Macaca mulatta: one gene and its partner. Each later gene encodes a partner of the first gene's protein in a complex. Links are inferred from orthologs where the notes say so. Each region holds a gene or a part of one and is shown on either strand. Other genes may lie near its edges.

Region 1 (10,285 bases):
GCAATTCTCGTTCCTCAGCCTCCCAAGTAGCTGGGACTGCAGGCGCCCATCACCACACCCGGCTAATTTTTGTATTTTTAGTTTTGCCATGTTTCATGCTTTCGCCATTTGGCCAGGCTTGTCTCGAACTCCTGACCTCAAGTGATCCATCTGCTTTGGCCTCCCAAAGTGCTGGGATTATAGGTGTGAGCCACTGTGCCTGACCTATTTTGTTTTAAATCAAGATATAATTCACATGCCATAAAATTTACTTTTAGCCAGGCACTGTGACTCACGCTTATAATCCCAGCACTTTGAGAGGCCAAGGCAGGTGGATCACAAGGTCAGGAGTTCAAGACCAGCCTGGCCAAGTGAAACCCTGTCTCTACTAAAAATACAAAAATTAGTTGGGCGTGGTGGCAGGCACCTGTAGTTCCAGCTACTAAGGAGGCTGAGGCAGGAGAATTGCTTGAACCCGGGAGACGGAGGTGGAAGTGAGCCGAGATCACGCCACTGCACTCCAGCCTGGGCGACAGAGCAAGATTCCGTCTCAAAAAAAAAAATTTACTTTTGAATATGATCAAATTTGTGTTTTAGAAAGATCATGATGGCAAGCAGTGAGGAGGATGGATTAGAGGCTGGCAGAGATTGGGCATGGGGACAGGGTAGACAAAATTATTGTAACTGACCAAGAGAAGTCTGAGAAGAAAAGGATATGCTGGACCTCCATCTGCCCTACCCAGGTCCAACAACTATCGACACCTTGCCACATTTGCTTTGTTTATCCTTACTAGTTGTTGTTTTTGTTTTGGCTAAAGTATGTAAAAGCAAATCCCAAACATTGTATTAACCCTACAAATTTTAAAAATATGAGTATTTTCTTGCATAAGTACAATGTCATTTCATGCTAGACAAAATTATCAAACTCAGTCCATATAAAATTTCATTAATATCTAGAAAAATGTCTTATGATTTTTAAAATCAGGATCCGAAATATAAGCACAATCTTTTTTTAAGAGCCTTGGGTGGGTGGGTGTGAACAGACTCTTTCCAGGATACATTAAGGAATGTAGTAAAAGAAAAAGACTTGAAACTGCAGCACAGTGAGGAAAGTCAGATCAAGAACTTCCTAGAAATCTGTGAGACTAAGCATCTAGGGAGAAAGCGGGGCTGGGATATAATGCATATATTTCAGCACAGCAGAAACTACTTTCACCCCATTTTCCCCTTTCCTGCAGAAACCTCTCTCCCCTCCCCTCCTATCTGTATATATTTCAGGACAGCAAAAACTACCCTCACCCCATTTTTCCCTTTCCTGCAGAAACTTCCTTCCCTTTCCCCTTTTCTTTCCCCTTTCCTTTTCCTTTTCCTTTCCTTTTGATACAGGGTTTTGCTCTCTCACCCTGAGTGCAGTGGCACATTCATCACTCACTCACTGCACCCTCAAACTCCTGGGCTGAAGCCATCTTCCTGATTAGCCTCCCAAGTAGCTAGGACCACAGGTGCTCACTACCAGGCCCAGATAATATATTTTTTTTTCTTTTTGAGACAGAGTTTCGCTCTTGTTGCCCAGGCTGGAAGGCTGGAGTGCAATGGCGCGATCTCGGTTTACTACAACCTCCACGTCCTGGGTTCAAGCGATTCTCCTGCCTCAGCCTCCTGAGTGGCTGGGATTACAGGCATGCGCCACCATGCCCAGCTAATTTTGTATTTTTAGTAGAGACTGGGTTTCTCTATGTTGATCGGGCTGGTCTCAAACTCCCGACTTCAGGTGATCCACCTGCCTTGGCCTTCCAAAGTGCTAGGATTACAGGCATGAGCCACCATGCCCGGCCTAGGCCTGGCTAATTTTTTTACTTTTTGTAGAGACAGGGTCTCACTATGTTGCTCAGGCTGGTCTTGAACTCCTGGGCTCAAGCAATCCTATGGCCACAGCCTCCCAAAGTGCTAGGATTACAGGTGTGAGCCTCCTCATTTCCTTTCTTTTTTATTTTTTTGAGACAGAGTCTTGCTCTTTTGCCCAGGCTGGAATGCAGTGGTGTGATCTCAGCTCACTTCAACCTCTGCCTCCCAGGTTCAAGTGATTCTCGTGCCTCAGCCTCCCAAGTAGCTGGGATTATAGGGGCGCACCACCATGCCCACCTAATTTTTGCATTTTTAGTAGAGATGGGGTTTCGCCATATTTGCCAGGCTGGTCTGACCTCAAGTGATCCAACCACCTCAGCCTCCCAAAGTGCTAGGATTACAGGCATGAGTTACTGTGCCAGGCCTCATCCCCTTTCTTTTCTTTTTTTTTTTTCGAGACGAAGACTCGCTGTGTCACCCAGGCTGGAGTACAGTAGTGTGATCTTGGCTCACTGCAACTTCCACCTTCTGGGTTCCAGTGATTCTCCTGCCACAGCCTCCCGAGTAGCTGGAACTACAGGCATGCGCCACCATGCCCAGCTGATTTTTGTACTTTTAGTAGAGACGGGGTTTCACCATATTGGCGAAGCTGGTCTCGAACTCCTGACCTCGTGATCCACCCACTTCGGCCTCCCAAAGTGCTGGGATTACAGGCGTGAGCCACCACGCCCGGCCTCATCCCCTTTGTAATGTGTGTTGTAACCCTAGTTGATTCTGCTGGGGGAGGATCTGGAATCATCTCATTGAGCATCCCACCACTAGAGCAAGATAAGTCATAAGATACCCCATTCATTCTCCACTTCCAACTCTCCTCAGAGCAGCACGGGACATTCCAGACCCTCTCACCACCTCACCCCCTCCCCTTGCTCCTGTCACGAGGCCCAATCCCCCAGAGCCCTTTCATGTGATGCTCAGCTGAGACCCCTCTGCCTATCTCTCCCAGCCCCAGAACAAAAGGTCTGGGCTGTGTTCACCCGTACCCATCCCAAGGGGAGAGGATTGTATCTCCTTAGTCTTCTTACCCAATACTACATTCTCTGACTCCCCACTTTAAATCTCCTACCCCAAGAGACATTTCTTAAAAGAGTCTCCCGCACATTTCACCCCTTTGGAGCCCCTGCTCCAGCTCACTGCCAAGGAAGCCTCAGAATCAGTGCCACAGAGACCTTCTATTCTTCTGCCCCTCCAAGCATATGAGATTATTTTCAGGCTCAATCCCAAATCTCCATGTAGGGAGGGAGCCCAGGTGCCCACATTCTCACTAAATCAAATGAGTGGGAGACGCCTGAAATATTGCCGCTATCTCCCATTAGGAGGAGAGAAACCAGAGCAGGGGGAATTCATCCCCAAGTTCACACCTGCTTATGTCCACATATCCACACATACCTTTTGTAGCCCCCACAGCCAGCAAAGCACCTATCACAGCCAAATGAAGAAGCCATCTTTTTAGCACCAGATCCATTGTGTTCTTCCCTCCAGCAACCAAAGGCACTGGGGGGACTGGGATAGGCCCCTATATAAGAAAAGGGTGCTCATTTGCATAGCCCTTCCTCTTCTCCCTCAGAGAAGGCCTGGGAGGGGCCAGAGAAGAGGAAGAAGGAAAAACTGACAAAGGGATCCTGGTCCCTAGACATTGCTTTCCCATCCTGCTACTCAATGGCAGTTTCTGGTTTCACTGGGTCACTCTCATATACTCCCGGGCAAGGGCTGACTGAAAGGCAGCTGCATAACACATACCAGACACAACAGTTCATCATGGGAGAGTGAATTAAACCAGGAACTTCTCAAAAAAACAGAAACAGAAGCCTGCATCCCAAAACACAGACAGCGTCGGGGTAGGCTATGAGGCAGAGGCAATGACTCCTCTGAGGCCCAGGAATTCTTTACAACGAGATTCCTAGTTTCCTGCTTTTCAAAGGAGGCTCCTGGGCCAGGTGGAATTTAACCTTAGGTCGATACATATTTTCCCCAGGAGTGGTGAAAATAGTGAGTTAGAAATCAAGAAATCCCTACAGACTAGAGACACAGGTAGGAAACTTGGACCCAAAGTAGGTACTTGGGAAGACTGTTCAGCCGCCCCACCGAGAAAGAAATTTGTCTAGCCCCCGAAGAACCAAACTTGCCTGGGGCGGGGTCATTTGCGGGGAGGAGCGCTGCACTCGCCCCCCGGCTCTGACGTTGACCAATAGAAATGCCTGGGGGCGGAGCCAGGGAAACGCGGGAAGCAGGGGCGGGGCTTCTGGTGGCGGTCGGGAACTCGGGGGGAGGCGGCAACATTGTTTCAAGTTGGCCAAATTGACAAGAGCGAGAGGTATACTGCGTTCCATCCCGACCCGGGGGCACGATACTGGGCCCTGTTTCCCCCTCCTCGGCCCCCGAGAGCCAGGGTCCGCCTTCTGCAGGGTTCCCAGGCCCCCACTCCAGGGCCGGGCTGACCCGACTCGCTGGCGCTTCATGGAGAACTTCCAAAAGGTGGAAAAGATCGGAGAGGGCACGTACGGAGTTGTGTACAAAGCCAGAAACAAGTTGACGGGAGAAGTGGTGGCGCTTAAGAAAATCCGCCTGGACACGTGAGTGGCCTCTGTACCCGGGACTCCTAACTGGGGACCTCCTTGACTGTCCCCCCCCAATCCCCCACGGGCGGGTAGCCGTCCAGGGACCGGAAGACAACAGGGACGGACTTCTTTAGAAGTGGAGAGGTGGGTTGGGGGCCAGTAGAAGGTGGAGTGTATACTTATACTCCCTGGGGAGAGTATAGGATGGTGTGGAATCCATGGAAAACTTTCTTCCCAAACTGAGCCGGATCGTGCCCCCAAATGTGCGAACACAGAGACTCGGGGAGAGAAAGGAGGCCTCTGAGATGAGGTCCAAGACTCTCCATGGAGTGGAGTTATGTGGGAACCGGCGAGGAGCGCCTTTCTGAATGAAGAGCTCTCCTCACTGCCCCACCCTCACCTTAGAATTCTCTCCTCTTTCCAAAGAATGGCAGTTGAACCTCACTGGCCCCTCTGGAGAGACTGGGGACTACTCCTGCTTTTTTTTTTTTTTTTTCCCCATTACAGCCTCCCTGCTTTACCTTCACCAGACGGCTTTACTTACCTACCCCTGGGAAAAGACAAGATAATGACCTTAATATGTGCAAAAGCCACACCCTGACTACCCAAGAATTAGCTCTTTCCAGCACCCTTTCTTTTCTCTGACTTTCCTAGGGGGTGCTGGGTGGTGTCTCCTTGGGGGAAAGAAATGACTAGGTGGGGGAAAAAGGAATATTTGTAACCATATTCCCGTCTCTGCTTTCCCAACCTCTCCAAGTGAGACTGAGGGTGTGCCCAGTACTGCCATCCGAGAGATCTCTCTGCTTAAGGAGCTTAACCATCCTAATATTGTCAAGTGAGTATGTGTCTGAGAGGCAATCCAGCTGGAAAGGAGGATGAGTTGTCTGTACAGTGTGGGCTTTTCTCTCTCTCGCACCTCCATTTCCTCAAACTTTACTTCTCTAGGCTGCTGGATGTCATTCACACAGAAAATAAACTCTACCTGGTTTTTGAATTTCTGCACCAAGATCTCAAGAAATTCATGGATGCCTCTGCTCTCACTGGCATTCCTCTTCCCCTCATCAAGGTAATGCTTCTCATCAGCTCCTCCCATCATGGGCATGTCTTGGGGTACTGGTGGCAGGCAATTCAGGGTGATATTTTATGATCTTGGCCTCCTTCTGAGCCCTCATCTCCTACACACACACACTCCCCTTCTTTTTGTGTCTCCTTCCCTGCTCATTATATTCATTAACCCTAGGGTTGGACTGAACAATCAAAGTTGAAACTCTAGTGAGTCAACCTAGCAACTCAGGTGGGAGGTCAGATGAAACTCAGATAAATGGGATTTGAGAGCACTTGGTAAATTCCTCCAAAAAGCCCTTCTGTTTGGTGGAAGAACCAGCTAGTAAGTCTCTATTGTCTATTTTAGGGCTGGATTCTTCACTCCCAGAGCTACTTTATTAACAAACATTTGTTCAATGCACAGCATGTAGAAAAGGGAAGCAAAATTGAGTAAGACTTGGTCCTTATCCTCTCTGGGCTGACAGTCCATTGGGAGAAATAGCTTGTAAATATGTAACTATAATCCAACATAGTAAAGGCTTTAGTAGAGTTTTGGGGTCACAGAGCAAACCCAGTCTGCTCACTGTGATGGAGAAACACAGTCCTCTCTTTCTTCTTTGTCAGAGCTATCTGTTCCAGCTGCTCCAGGGCCTAGCTTTCTGCCATTCTCATCGGGTCCTCCACCGAGACCTTAAGCCTCAGAATCTGCTTATTAACACAGAGGGGGCTATCAAGCTAGCAGACTTTGGACTAGCCAGAGCTTTTGGAGTCCCTGTTCGTACTTACACCCATGAGGTGAGTCCCTTTATGCCTTTCTTCTCTGAGCTTCCCAAGAGGTGTTAACTAGGGTATTCACAAATTTACTAAAAATATCTGGCTAACAGTTTCTTACTAGGTAGAAATAATCTCTTGACATCTTCAAGAGTCTTAGGGCATGCATGGAATTCATACTGTGTTGCTAACTGGGCTCACGCCTGTAATACCAGTACTTTGGGAGGCTGAAGTGGGAGGATCACTTGAGCCCAGGAGTTCGAGACCATCATGGGCAACATAGCGAGACCCCATCTCTACAAATCTACAAAAAGAAAAAATTTCGAAATCAAATTATGACCATTTGTCTCAAGTTTTTCCAGGAAGATCTCAAATTGGGGGTTCAGAAAATATGGTCTCCGGAACTATGGACTGGAAATCAGTGAGAGGGGAAAGAGGGAGGGAAGGAAACTGCTTGTTAAGAGGCCATGAGTTAGCAGAGTAGTGTTGGGGAACTGAGATGTGGGAATCTCCATACCCTATAAACCACTCCACCTCTCCCTATTCCTGTCCCTCAGGTGGTGACCCTGTGGTACCGAGCTCCTGAAATCCTCCTGGGCTGCAAATACTACTCCACAGCCGTGGACATCTGGAGCCTGGGCTGCATCTTTGCTGAGATGGTATGGAGGCTTGCCCAAGTTCACCCAGCCCCCTCCTCCCCACATTCAAGAACAACAGAACTGTTTCTTGGCCCAGACCTATGGCCCTTCTATCACAGGGGTCTGTCTCTAAAGTAGCACCAAGGGGAATGGTGGGAAAGGATGCAACTGTTGCCCCAATATCAACCACAATGTTAGGATATCCTCAAACAGCCTTAGTACCTAGTATACTTCTCTTATCCCTGAAATGACATAAAGCATTTCTGCAGCCATTTTAGCTGAGTCTGCATATATTTGGGAGAATGATTCCATTTAGTGCCTCTTTTATTTCAGGCCTTCATTTCAAGGCTTGTAGACCTTATTGTGTGGTGCCAGCAATGTAGTGAAGACAATTGTGGTCACTTTATCCACACCCTTCATTTAAATTGCAGATTTAGGCAGAGTGCAGTGGCTCACACCTATAGTCCCAGCACTGTGGGAAGCTGAGGTATAGGTGGATCACCTGAGGTCAGGAGTTCGAGACCAGCCTGGCCAAAATGGTGAAACCCCATCTGTACTAAAAATACAAAAATTAGCCAGGTGTGGTGGCACACACCTGTAATCCCAGCTACTTGGGAGGCCAAGGCAGGAGAATCGCTTGAACCCAGGAGATGGAGGTTGCAGTGAGCCAAGATCGCACCACTGCACTCCAGCCTGGGCGACAGAACGAGATTCCATCTCAAAAAAAAAAAAAAAAGATTTAGATCATGTCCCCCTTCAACCTCTGGCTTTTCAGATTGAAGGATCCTTGAGGCCTGGCTTTATGTAGAAGCTCCTATCTCCTTTAATACAACAGTGCAGTGCAGTAGGCTGAGGCTTCAAATCAGCAATATGTTTTATTGTCTTTTATCTGGGTTGTAACCAACAGCTTAAAGACCATTAGCCTGTACATATGTAATGTGCATTTATCCCCCAGTGCATTACCTTACAATTGTCCGTATTCCTCTCTCAATTCATCCAAAAATATTTGTTAAGCACCTAGTGGGTAGCCAGCACCATGCTAGGTACTGTGGGGAACACAGAAGAAATGGAAGACAGAGCCTCTGCCCGCTGTGCTCCTATCTAGAAGTGGCTGCATCACAAGGTTGGGGGATGACTGCAGTGTCTACCCCATACCCCGTGAGTGGCTTGGGATCCCTTTGCTACATGTCAGTGGCATCGCAGACATTCAGCCCCTCCCAGACCCACCCAGCCTTGGGGATCTGCAAAGCCATGGTTGGGGGAAGGAAGGAGGGGGCGAGGAGACAGATGAAGGGACTTCATTGTCTCAGGTTCTGTGTGACTGACCCCATGAAAGGCCCTGGGGAGGGAGTCATGGGGCCCTGCTGACCTTCTACTGTCTGTGGGAACTCCTTTGTATAGAGGAGAGTTTTGACTGACTTCAACATAGGTCTTGGTATTTTCTCTTTCCCCATTTTCAGGTGACTCGCCGGGCCCTATTCCCTGGAGATTCTGAGATTGACCAGCTCTTCCGGATCTTTCGGACTCTGGGGACCCCAGATGAGGTGGTGTGGCCAGGAGTTACTTCTATGCCTGATTACAAGCCAAGTTTCCCCAAGTGGGCCCGGCAAGATTTTAGTAAAGTTGTACCTCCCCTGGATGAAGATGGACGGAGCTTGTTATCGGTGAGAGTGGGCACCTGTTTTCCCTCATTCATTTCTCCCAGGGAAGGGCTTTTCCAGGATGAAGGAAGGATGAGACCCTGAAATCTGGGCCTCAGTATTTTGTTTCCCTGGTTCCTGCTCTCCCTGTTGGCACACTGGTTCAGCTATGGGAGGATGGAAGTAAGAATTCCGCCTTGGGTAGAAGGAGTTCTGGTTTCCTGATTTCTGGGAACATTTGCTGCCCATTTAGTCCACTATCACATGATTGAAGTCAACATACATCTCTCCCTCTAGCAAATGCTGCACTACGATCCTAACAAGCGGATTTCGGCCAAGGCAGCCCTGGCTCACCCTTTCTTCCAGGATGTGACCAAGCCAGTACCCCATCTTCGACTCTGATAGCCTTCTCGAAGCCCCCAGCCCTAATCTCACCCTCTGCTCCAGTGTGGGCTTGACCTGGCTTGGCCTTGGGCTATTTGGACTCAGGTGGGCCCTCTGATCTTGCCTTAAACACTCACCTTCTAGTCTTGGCCAGCCAACTCTGGGAATACAGGGGTGAAAGGGAGGAACCAGTGAAAATGAAAGGAAGTTTCAGTATTAGATGCACTTAAGTTAGCCTCCACCACCCTTTCTCCCTTCTCTTAGTTACTGCTGAAGAGGGTTGCTATTAAAAAAAAAAAAAAAAAAAAAGCCTTCCTACATGTTAGATTTGCCGTACCAATCTCTGAATGCCCCATAATTATTATTTCCAGTGTTTGAGATGACCAGGATCCCAAGCCTCCTGCTGCCGCAATGTTTGTAAAGGCCAAATGATAGCAGGGGGCTAAGTTGGAACTTTTGAAAACCAAGTCAAACAAAACCACTGGGAGGAGTCTATTTTAAAGAATTCGGTTGAAAAAATAGATCCAATCAGTTTATACCCTAGTTAGTGTTCTGCCTCACCTAATAGGCTGGGAGACTCAAGACTCAGCCTGGGTGGGGCTGCAGAAAAATGATTGGCCCCAGTCCCCTTGTTTGTCCCTTCTACAGGCATGAGGAATTTGGGAGGCCCTGGGACAGGGATTGTGCTTCATTCCAATCTATTGCTTCACCATGGCCTTATGAGGCAGGTGAGAGATGTTTGAATTTTTCTCTTCCTTTTAGTATTCTTAGTTCTTCAGTTGCCAGGGATCCCTGATCCCGTTTTCCTCTGAAGTCCACCTCCTACCCCATAGGAGTCGGAAATTAGGGTTTAGGCATCATTTTGAGAGTACTGACACTTTTTCAGGGCTGTGATTGAGTGAGGGCATGGGCAAAAATATTTCTTTAAAAGACGGATGAACAATTATATTTATATTTCAGGTTATATCCCATAGTAAGGTTGGCTTTTTTTTTTTTTTTTTTTTTTTTTTTGGTTAGAGTGGGTGGATTTGTTGCCATGTGCACCTTCGGGTTTTGTAATGACAGTGCTTAAAAAAAAAAAAAGCATTTTTTTTTGTTTATGATTTGTTTCTGTCACCCTTGTCCTTGAGTGCTCTTGCTATTAACGTTATTTGTAATTTAGTTTGTAGTTCATTAAAAAAATGTGCCTAGTTTTATAGTTCATCTCTTTCCTATTTACTGAAAGAATGGTGAGAAACAGAATATGAATATGTATATGTGATCATTGATTTCGGACCCCTTTTCCTAATCTCTCTGTGCATGGCCACCCACCCCACCCCATTTTGGCTAGTGCTGACAGTGAACAAAGTGGTTATTATCGTTCCTATTT
Region 2 (10,329 bases), on another chromosome or scaffold:
CCCATAATAAGCCCTTTAAAAAATGGCAACTGTTACTAATTATTGTTACTTAAAGACCACTTAGTTCTCAATAACCTCTAACCAACCACTGAGCTCCATTCTGTGTCCAGTGCAGATTGTTATTCCATCAGCTAGCCAAGAAGTATATATTTTCTTTTCGAATTTTACACACTCCTGCCTGTGGTTCAGAATAAGCTTTTCTTATAATGACCTTTTCTGACCACCCAAGGAGGTAGCAATTGTCTCTTGGTTCTTTGGGTCCCCCCTGAACATAGAGAATGAGGGGCATCTGTTGACCCAGATGCTGCAGGTATCAGTCCCAGTCCTCAGTTCCCAGAGGACCCCCCTCACCTCATTTATTCTTCCTTCTTTTCAGCCCTCCTGAACCTTCCACTCTCTTTTCAACTCAGCTGTTTACTTTGGTAGCATCACTCAGTCTCTTCTAGCTTTCTTCCCCCACTAGTATCTAACAGAACAGCTCTACACAGCACAGGCACACTAAGGCAATATCCTCTATTTAAAAAAAAAAAAATTTTAGAGGCAGAGTCTTGCTGTCACCCATGCTGGAATGCAGTGGCAAAATCATAACTAACTGTAACCTCAGACTCCTGGGCTCAAGTGATCCTCCCACCTCAGCCTCCCAAGTAGCTAGGACTACAGGTACCTGCCACCATACCCAGCTTTTTTTTTTTTTAATTTTTGTAGAGACAGGGTCTTGATATATTGCCCAGGCTGGTCTTGAACTCCTGGCCTCCAGCAATCCTCTTGTCTCTCCCTTGCAAAGTGCTGGGATTATAGGCATGAGCCACTGCACCTGGCCTAATTTCTTAAATTTGGAATACATAAGCAAAAAACAAAGAAGCATAAACATATATTAACAGTTTTGTACCAACCAAATAAAATGTACAGAGATAATCACATGCCTGGCAAAAGAGTACAAGCAATTAGGTGTTTATATAATTAACAACTCTATAAGAAATCAAAATAGCCAGGTACATGGATCACGCCTGTAATCCCAACACTTTGGGAGGCCAAGACAGGCGGATCATCTGGGATCATCTGGTATCGGGAGTTCAAGACCAGCCTGGCCAACATGGTGAAATCCCATCTCTACTAAAAATTACAAAAATTAGCCCAGCATCATGGCAGGTGCCTATAATCCCAGCTACTCGGGAGGCTGAGGCAGGAGAATCGCTTGAACCCAGGAAGCAGATGTTGCAGTGAGTCAAGATTGTGCCATTCACTCCAGCCTGGGTGACAAGGAGCAAAACTCTATCTCAAAAAAAAAAAAAAAAAATCAAAACAAAATTTAAAGTTTTTTTTTTGTGCTAACCCCAAATGTGTGAAAGACATAGATATTCATGGGATGTTGGGGGCTCCGTTCCAGAAAACTTAAAATAATATAAAATCCTTATCAGTACATCTTCATTTTTGGTCACAATTTTCATTAATGATATTTTGTACATGTTTGTCTTCTATTTATTTTCCTTAACAATTAATTTCACGTGTGGTTGACCCATGCGACGTTCATTAAACATTGAACTGAAACAAAGCTTTGCTGCTTTGAATGTGCTTAAGATTTCTATCTTAATTTTGATTCTAATATGTTTATACTTAGCTTCCTATCACGTGTTAAGACTTCTGTTTTTTTCAATTTCTCCTCATGTTTATTTAAAAAAGGATAAAATATAATAAAACAGTGAGTTAAAATTTTTTAAAATAACACTAAAGTTCTTTTTTTCCCTTTGCTGTACTTTTAGTATCTATAAATAACACATGTAGATTAGTCTTTCAAAATTTAATCCTCTACACACATAATTAAAAGATGAATTGATTGCATTTGCTGTCCCAGCAGTCACTTCTTGTGCTTTACCCACTTGTACCATCCATCCATGTTCCTCCCTTCCTTCTCTTGTCTCCATCCCAATCACAGCAGCATGTAGAGAAGTATATCCAGCTGTTTTTGTTTTGTTTTGTTTTGTTTTGTTTTTGAGATGCAGTCTCACTCTGTCACCCAGACTGGAGTGCAGTGGCATGATCTTGGCTCACTACAACCTCTGCCTTCCAGGTTCAAGCAATTCTCCTGTGTCAGCCTCCTGAGTAGCAGGGATTACAGGCACCCACTACCACGCCCAGCTAATTTTTTATTTTTAGTAGAAATGGGGTTTCACCATATTGGCCAGGATGGTCTCGAACTCCTGACCTTAGATGATCTGCCTGCCCTCGGCCTCCCAAAGCACTGGGATTACAGGCATAAGCCACCGCACCCAGCCCAGCTGTTCTTAAAATGCAAAAAGTGGCAGTTCCAGGTTTGAGGGATACAAAAGTTGAAACAGCAGAAACTCAGGGATCTGAGGCAGTGAATGACGAGGCCAGGAAGAAAGAGCACCATCATCACTCCGCAGAGGCTGGAGTCAGGGCTGGAGCTGAGAGAGAGAGAAGAAGCTGGCCAGAGACAGGCTGATAGGTGATAGGGCAGGGTGGGCATTCTCAACATCCAGCAGTCGGATAAACAGAGGAGAGTGGAAGGAAAAGTTTGGCTGATTATAAAATCTTGAGCTCAAGATATTGAGATCAGGATGGAAATAAGCCTGTGGTTAAAATGGTCCACCAGGAAATGACACAAAAGATGCCTATGGTTAAATGAGCGTATTCTACTGAATGTGAGGCTGGATGTTAGTTGTTTTTGTGGTCTTTCGCTATCGTTTTCAACTTTCCTGGGCCAGGCCCCCTTTTCCAAGGGTACAGCCTGGTTCCCATTCTAGAGTTCAATCTCCATTCAGGGGTACTTTGTTTTTAAGCATACTCAAATGCACACCTCTGAGTGTGCTTCACCATCCTACACACTCCACAGCCCACCGACTTTCTGGAACTGTTCAGCCCTCAGTGGCCTTGTAGCACATGCTTCCACCACTCCCTTTTCCTCCAACATACCAGCCCAGCCTTATGGATTCTTGCTTTTGAGAGGGGAGGGTCAAACATGAGGAATGAGAGCCCGAAACACCAACAGCCAACTGTATTTCACAGGTTCACCCAGGGCCAGCCTGGTTTACTTTCAAATATATGCAAATGTATTTTAAAACTGTGCCACTCCGCTTAAAGAGTCTACGGTCCTAGCCATAAAACAAAACATAGGTGCACCTTAAATACTGGTTGATTATTTGACCAAAGGCAGGACTCTGCGTCTAGGCATACATACCCACCTACATTCTCTTGTACACAGTACCATGGCCATTTCTAATATGAAATGTAAACTTACACATCAAAACAATAGCTATAAATATGTGGTGGGTGTGGTCTGTTCCTTAACCCTACTAAGGCCTATATTGTAAGAGAGCAGGTATTTCCTAAGTAGCCCTTGAGTTCTAATTGGGCCTTTGATTTGATTTTGTCTTCTAATTTGGCCTGACATACCAGCCAATGTGGTCACCATATTGAACAGCACAGATCTAAAAGGATTTCCTGAGTGTGGAAAAATCTCTGTGGGTCTCTAGGATAGTTAATTTTGTGCATCAACTTGGCTGGGCCATGGTGCCCAGTTATTTGGACAAACATTATTCTGGATGTTTCTGTGAAAGTGTTTTGGGATGAGATTTGCATTAAATTGGGAAATGTTGAGTAAAGCAGACTGCCCTCTATAATATGGATGGGCCTCATCCAATCAGTTGAAGGTCTGAAGAGAACAAAAGTCTGACCCTGCCCTGTGCAAGGGGTAATTTCGCCAGTAGACAGCCTTCAGACTTTACATGCAACATTGGCTCTTCTTTGTTCTACAACAGCTTTTGGACTCGAATTACAGCCTTTCCTGAGTCTCCAGGACACTGGCCTCCCCCCATCAGATTTTGGACTCACCAAGCTTCCACAAGCACAGAAGCCAATTCCTTAAAATAAATCTGTTTCTATAACCATACATACACATCCTATTCATTCTTTATCTCTGGGCAACCCTGACTAATAGTCTCTAAGTCAAACTATGATACCTTCTTTACTAAGGAATTCCTTCTAATAGTTCTATACCCATTGGTTTTCACAACATGAATCAGGGCTGAAATTTCTGCATATTTTTCTCAGATCTGCTCCAGACGAATTCCTTTCCCATGGCTAAAGGGGGACTGGAGAAGGGGGAGAAATACTCAAATACATTTTTAAAAGATTACAGCTAATTATGTAGAAACACTGGCCCTTAGACCTATCTTACCTGGCATTTTATAATCTCCCTTTCACACAATATAATTTAATTCATATTTGGGGGACAGGAAGATTGATCTACACTGTAACTTGACTAGTTTCTGGAATGATAAAGAAAATAAAACTTCAATCATATAAAATGTGTTTATACTCCAGATTTTTAGTTTTTTCCCTAGTATTTGCATGTCTAGATATAATTACAAACTCTATGTGATATGCTTTTCATGTGACAATCCAATACAGTGCTTTCCTGAGCCCTTAAAAAATAAAAAAATTACAACTTAAAGAAACAAAAACTGCCTACCGTAGCCGCTACAAGGGAGGCTAAGGCGGGAGGATTCCTTGAGGCCAGGAGTTCAAGGCCAGCCTGGGCAACATAGTAAGACCTCCGTCATAAACACAAAAACTCCCAACCCGAGTTCGAGACCAGCCTGACCAACATGGAGAAACCCCATCTCTACGAAAAATACAAAATTTAGCCAGGCTTGGTGGCACATGCATGCCTGTAATCCCAGCTACTCGGGAGGGTGAGCCAAGAGACTCGCTTGAACCCGGGAGGTGGAGGTTGCGGTGAGCCGAGATGGCGCCATTGCACTCCAACCTGGACTACAAAAGCGAACTCCACCACAAACAAACAAACAACAAAAAACACCTCTCAAACCTATGGACCACGCTGACTTCCAGCCATCAGAAAGCAAAGTTTTCCAGCGTCCCGCAAGTTCTAGGGCCGCCTTCTGACTCTTCCGCCCCGCCTCCGCCCTCTGCACTCTCCCAACTGGCGGGAGGAGGGCGCCCTCCCAGCCAATCAACGTCCCACAGGGCCCGCCTCCCGCGCGTCTTTCAAAGGTCTTCTAGGAACCAATCAGCGATTAGAGGCCGAGCCTTCGGACATCCGAAGGAGGAGTAAGAAGCTAGGAGCGGATCTGATTGGTTGCTGGAAGACGCCGCGCCCACCTCACAGGAGGACGAACCAGTGAGCTAAGCGGAGGGGGCGCGGGCTCGGCCCGGACACCGGTGAGTCGCCGGCGCTGCAGAGAGAGGCGGCACTGGTCTCGACTTGGGGCGGCCAGCGATGAAGCCGGTGAGTCGGACGTGCTGGGGCTTGGAGGAGCGAGGCGGCAGGGACGCAAGCGGTCCCGGGGACCCGATCCTGGGCCGGAGGGCAGCCGTAGCCTGGTAGCACTGCGACTTGCGCCATAACCGTCCTGTGGGTCGGGGAGGTGACTTTGCCACGCACGGGCACTAGAGACGAAGGAGCAGGGTCGGTGGCCGACGAAGGAAAGACGGACATTCGCTGTGCACCTGCTGTGGGCTGTCGCCTGTCCCCTGCGGGGTCTCATAAGCCTCCCAGCCAACGAAGGCCGAGCCTCGTTGTACCGAGGAAACCGAGTCGAGGAACTTGAGTGTCAGCGATGAGTGGGCGCGATACCCCAACCCCGAAGGGCGTCCGGCCGCTGCCCTGCGCCCACTGGGGAAACCATGAGTACGAATGCCACGCCGCGGCTTGTGGGCGACACCACCGCTGTCACCATGCCCCAGGGCCACTTGGCAATGCTGCCCTTTTCCCGTGACGTTCAGAATCACCGGGCCTGGGGAAGCAGAAACGTCCAGCTCTGTTAGGATGAATAAACCTGGTGAATGGGCCCCACAAATTTGAAATATGAATCATTAAAGCTGCTTTAAAGAAAAAGCAGATGCAGGCAAGACGCTGAAGATCCCCCACCTAACCCATATTTCCTACTGCCGGGGTTGACAACCTACTGGAAGCCTTTCCTTTGGGTGCAGTGTATTATAATACTTCAGATGGAGCCAAAGCAATAGAAATGCATAGCCTAGGGCTGGGTGGTGGCTCGCGCCTCTAATCCCAACACTTTGGGAGGCCAAGGCGGGCGGATCACTTGAGGCCAGGAGTTGGAGACCAGCCTGGCCAACACGGTGAAACCCATTCTCTACTAAAAATACAAAAATTAGCTGAGCGTGGTAGTGCACGCCTGTAGTCCCAGCTACTCAGGAGGCTGAGCCACGCGAATAGCTTGAACCCAAGAGGCAGAGGTTGCAGTGAGCTAATATCACGCCAGTGCCCTCCAGCCTGGGCAACAGAGCAAAACGCTGTCTCAAGAAAAAGAAAGAAAAAAATAAAATACATAGCCTAAATTGGCCGTCCTGTGATCTTCAGTACCAAGACCGTTGTAAAATACAGCTTCAGAGCTAGAAAGGGCATTAGGTGGTTACACTTGCTACGCCCTATGTTGCCATGTGGAGGGACATCAGCTGTCCTTCACTCCTGGCCTGTTTCTCCACCTGTCCCTATTGAGTTATCTGATCCCTGAGTTTGGAAGGAACCGAACACCAGTATCTCAACTTTTTCTTTCCTTCTCTCTTGGGAGCTACCTGCCTGCCTGCAGAAGGTGCTTTCTGGTCCACTCTCTGGCACACAGGAGCCCTAGACTGTCCATGGCCACCTGTGACTGGGTGGATACATTTGTCTAATTCTGGGTTGAACAAGGGGCAGGCGCATGTGGCAACAGCTTTAAGCTGCATACTCCATTTGATATACAATAATAAAGCTCCATTTCCTTATCTTTCAATTGGTTTCAACTAGGGAGTGAGAAAAGGGTATGGGTTTTGTTCTGTTCTATTTTGTTTTTCTTTTTCTTTTTCTTTTTCTTTTGATTCTTTAAAATTTCAGCAGGGAGTGTAGAAGTCTTCCATGTCAAAATGCTGCAGGATTAAGTTCCAGCTGCTTAGATCAGCATACAAAGTCTGTCTCAATCTCTCTAGTGATTCATAAAACTGGCAGGTTATTTCACCTACACCACCCCCACCAAACTACTAGGCGATGTGGGGATTGTTTTTTGAGAAAAGGGATGGGCAAAACTACTTCTTCATCTCCTCTACTCCATCTCTATTTTGATATCACAGTTCCTCAATACAAGGGCCTTGGCTTACCTTCTTTCCTTTCTTTTTTTGACAGAGTCATGCCCTGTTGCCCAGGCTAGAGTGCAGTGGTGTGTTCCTGGCTCACTGCAACCGCTGCCTCCTGGGTTCAAGCGATTCTCCTGCCTCAGCCTCCTGAGTAGCTGGGATTATAAGCATGTGCCACCACGCCCAGTTAATTTTTATATTTTTGGTAGAGCCAGGTTTTGCCATGTTAGCCAGGCTGGTCTCAAACTCCTGACCTCAGGTGATCCGCCCGCCTTCTCCTCCCAGAGTGCTGAGATTTACAGGCATGAGCCACCGCACGCTCCCTTTCCTATCTTCTTAAAAACCTGCTCTTCCTTCAAAACCCAGCTAAAGCATTTCCTCTGTGAATCCTTCTACAGCTCCCTACATGGTCAGTCACTCTCTTCTCTGCTCCACAATATATAGTTCTGCTTCCATTTCAGCACTTACATAATACCTTTCTTCTGTAATCTATGCACACATCTATCTCTCCAGCCATACTGAAGGCAGGCTATCTATCTTATAGATCTTTTGCATCTCCAGTGCTTGGCAAATGAAGGTGGTCAAGAAATATTTGTGAATGAATAAATCTCCTCACTTTATAGTTGAGGAAAACTGAGATCCAGAATCAACTGAAGTAGCTTGTCAGAGAGTATACAGTAAGTGGCAGAACCAAGATCAGAAGCCAGATGTCTTGGTTCCCAATCCAACTCTCTTTCCACTATGCAGTGCTGTAATTATTAATAGAAAGGTAAATAGCAGTCATTTATTACTAATATTGCTGATCTCGGTGATATTCTGGATTGATGACTGAATACATTGCAAATATGAATTCAGTGTGTGTTTAGACAAGGACTAGCTATCCTAAAACTACAGAAAAATTCTTTACAGTTATTTAACATAACATTTCTTTTGAAGCCTAGTTCAATACAAACAAGTGAGTTTGACTCATCAGACGAAGAGCCTATTGAAGATGAACAGACTCCAATTCAGATATCATGGTATGTTAGCATTTCTGATCAATGATGAGCTAAAGTCACAATCTACATCATAAATGTAAATTTAGTTACATCATAATCTTAGTAGAATGTAGTTCACATATTGAAAACATTAAGGGTTTATCCCCCTCTGATTATATAATTCTAATTGTTAATGGATCTTCTAACTCCATGATTCATTTACTGTCTATAATATAGAAAAAGACCCTTTTTTTTTTGGCCCTTCTTTATATGTTGAGAAAACCTTAGTAGAAGCAAGTAAGTAAGAAATAGAGGTAGGATTGAAATAATCTCCCATTTAGTACCAAAATCTACTTATTCTTTTATGACAAAAGAATAATATACCAAATATGAGATGAGATATTTAATCATTTCTCATTAAATCAAATCCTAGGTAATACTTAGAAGTAATGTCACAGTAATGCATCTATCAACAGACTGTTTAAGATAAAAGCCACATCAATGCAATAACAAAAAGTTTCTACATAAAATCAGCCGTTTAATCTTGGCAAGTGACTTATGGTTATACCAGATTCTCTACAATGAGCAATCAAATACTTTCTCTCATCACCGCAAATATAATAGTCTCTCTCCTTAAGAAAGCACCATCCCTACTGTCAGAAGAGAAAGACAGTCCTAAAGGTCTTTTGTCCTACCATCAAATAGCATTAAACCTTCCATTTTTACTTAAAACTCCCATTTAAACACAAAAATTCATCGAATTTTCAAAGTCAGGTGGTATTTAGATGATGCCTCCTGTTTTCCGTTAAATCATCTTCTGACATGCAGACAAGGTGAGCCTCTGTCCCTGAGTGCTGCAGACTGGGAATGTGATTTCTTGATGTTATTTCTTTTTAACCAAAAACCTGTGGTTTTCATCATATGAAATCATATCTGTTAAGGAAGTTCTACAAAAAAAAATTTTTTAATAGTAACGTAGAATAAATGCTGGGGAGAAAATTGTCAGTCATTTTCCAATTTATTTTCCTAAATCACTAATACAAATTATCTCAGGTAATATACCACAGGATAACATAAGTACACCATATACTACCTTTTGGCAATCTAGACATTATTATCTTTAAGGTAAATTTAAATTAACTTGGCTTTTTGTTTTATTGTTTTTGTAGAGACAGGATTTCACCATGTTGCCCAGGCTGGTCTCAAACTCCTAGGCTCAAACAGCCTGCCTGCCTTGGCCTCTCTAAGTGCTGGGATCATAGGCATGAGCCATTTGTCATTTTTAATGCTTAAATAATAACCAACAAATAAGTCCCTGTTTTAAAACTTTGTCTTTCTATTTTTTGTGTGTGACCAACATATTGATATTTAACTATGAATTCTTATTTTGTGACTACTGTAAAACTTTAACACACCCTTATTTGGTGCAAGCACCCATATTGATTAAACTGAATTTCCATTTATAACTTTTTTAAAAACTTAACTAAACGTGATAAATTTTTCTACTTTTCAGGCTATCTTTGTCACGAGTGAATTGTTCTCAGTTTCTCGGTTTATGTGCTCTTCCAGGTGGGTAACACAATAATGGGCTTCCTCTCTCTACATATGTATTTTTTAATTTATTTTTATTGCAGTAGCTTTTGGGGGAACAGGTGGTGTTTGGTTACATGAATAAGTTCTTTAGTGGCGATTTCTGAAATTTTGGTGCACCCATCACCAGAGCAGTGTATAGTGTACCCAATGCGTAGTCTTTTATCCTTCATCCCCCTCCCACCTGTTCCCCCCCAGCTCCCAAAGTCCAATGTATCATTCTTATGCCTTTGTGTCCTCAAAGTTTACCTCCCACTTATGAGCGAGAACATGTGATGTTTGGTTTTCCATTCCTGAGTTACTTCACTTAGAATAATAGTCTCCAGTGGCTGGGTGCAGTCACTCACACCCATAATCCCAGCACTTTGGGAGGCCAAGGTGCCAGATCATGAGGTCAGAAGATCAAGACCATCCTGGAAACCATGGTGAAATCCTGTCTTTACTAAAAATACAAAAATTAGCTGGGCATGGTGATGCGTGCCTGTAGTCCCAGCTACTCGGGAGGCTGAGGCAAGAGAATTGCTTGAATCCAGGAGGCAGAGGTTGCAGTGAGCCAAGATCGCACCACTGCACTCCAGCCTGGCAATAGAGCAAGACTCTGTATCAAAAAAAAAAAAAAAAGAATAATAGTCTCCAGTTCCACCCAGGT

What was found. Proteins that work in one complex are often made in the same cells at the same time.
Region 2: the proteins of CDK2 (region 1) and CDKN3 are in contact, whole or in part, in a crystal structure (PDB 1FQ1), measured with the Homo sapiens proteins. The link is inferred for Macaca mulatta from reciprocal best matches to the Homo sapiens genes CDK2 and CDKN3. Residues at the interface, in NP_001789.2 of Homo sapiens: Tyr15, Glu42, Thr158, Tyr159, Thr160, His161, Val163, Val164, Leu166, Leu174, Gly176, Asp206, Ser207, Glu208, Ile209, Leu212, Asp235, Lys237, Phe240; in NP_005183.2 of Homo sapiens: Phe53, Lys54, Asp55, Arg57, Tyr87, Asp110, Gly111, Tyr141, Gly142, Gly143, Leu144, Gly145, Arg146, Ser147, Arg172, Ser177, Gly178, Ile180, Gln181, Thr182, Ile183, Lys184, Tyr186, Asn187, Glu191.

The regions. Positions count from the first base shown.
Region 1 is NC_133416.1:63,107,909-63,118,193, forward strand, and holds CDK2 (cyclin-dependent kinase 2), read left to right. Parts: upstream 1-4,338; coding exon 4,339-4,454; intron 4,455-5,196; coding exon 5,197-5,274; intron 5,275-5,384; coding exon 5,385-5,505; intron 5,506-6,107; coding exon 6,108-6,278; intron 6,279-6,811; coding exon 6,812-6,913; intron 6,914-7,906; coding exon 7,907-8,050; intron 8,051-8,352; coding exon 8,353-8,556; intron 8,557-8,829; coding exon 8,830-8,934; 3' UTR 8,935-9,225; downstream 9,226-10,285. Other genes in the region: melanocyte protein PMEL, read right to left, coding at 3,271-3,397, 4,008-4,340. UniProt on the Homo sapiens protein: Serine/threonine-protein kinase involved in the control of the cell cycle; essential for meiosis, but dispensable for mitosis. Phosphorylates CABLES1, CTNNB1, CDK2AP2, ERCC6, NBN, USP37, p53/TP53, NPM1, CDK7, RB1, BRCA2, MYC, NPAT, EZH2.
Region 2 is NC_133412.1:127,507,724-127,518,052, forward strand, and holds the start of CDKN3 (cyclin-dependent kinase inhibitor 3), read left to right. Parts: upstream 1-5,208; 5' UTR 5,209-5,260; coding exon 5,261-5,269; intron 5,270-8,049; coding exon 8,050-8,132; intron 8,133-9,603; coding exon 9,604-9,659; intron 9,660-10,329. UniProt on the Homo sapiens protein: May play a role in cell cycle regulation. Dual specificity CC phosphatase active toward substrates containing either phosphotyrosine or phosphoserine residues. Dephosphorylates CDK2 at 'Thr-160' in a cyclin-dependent manner.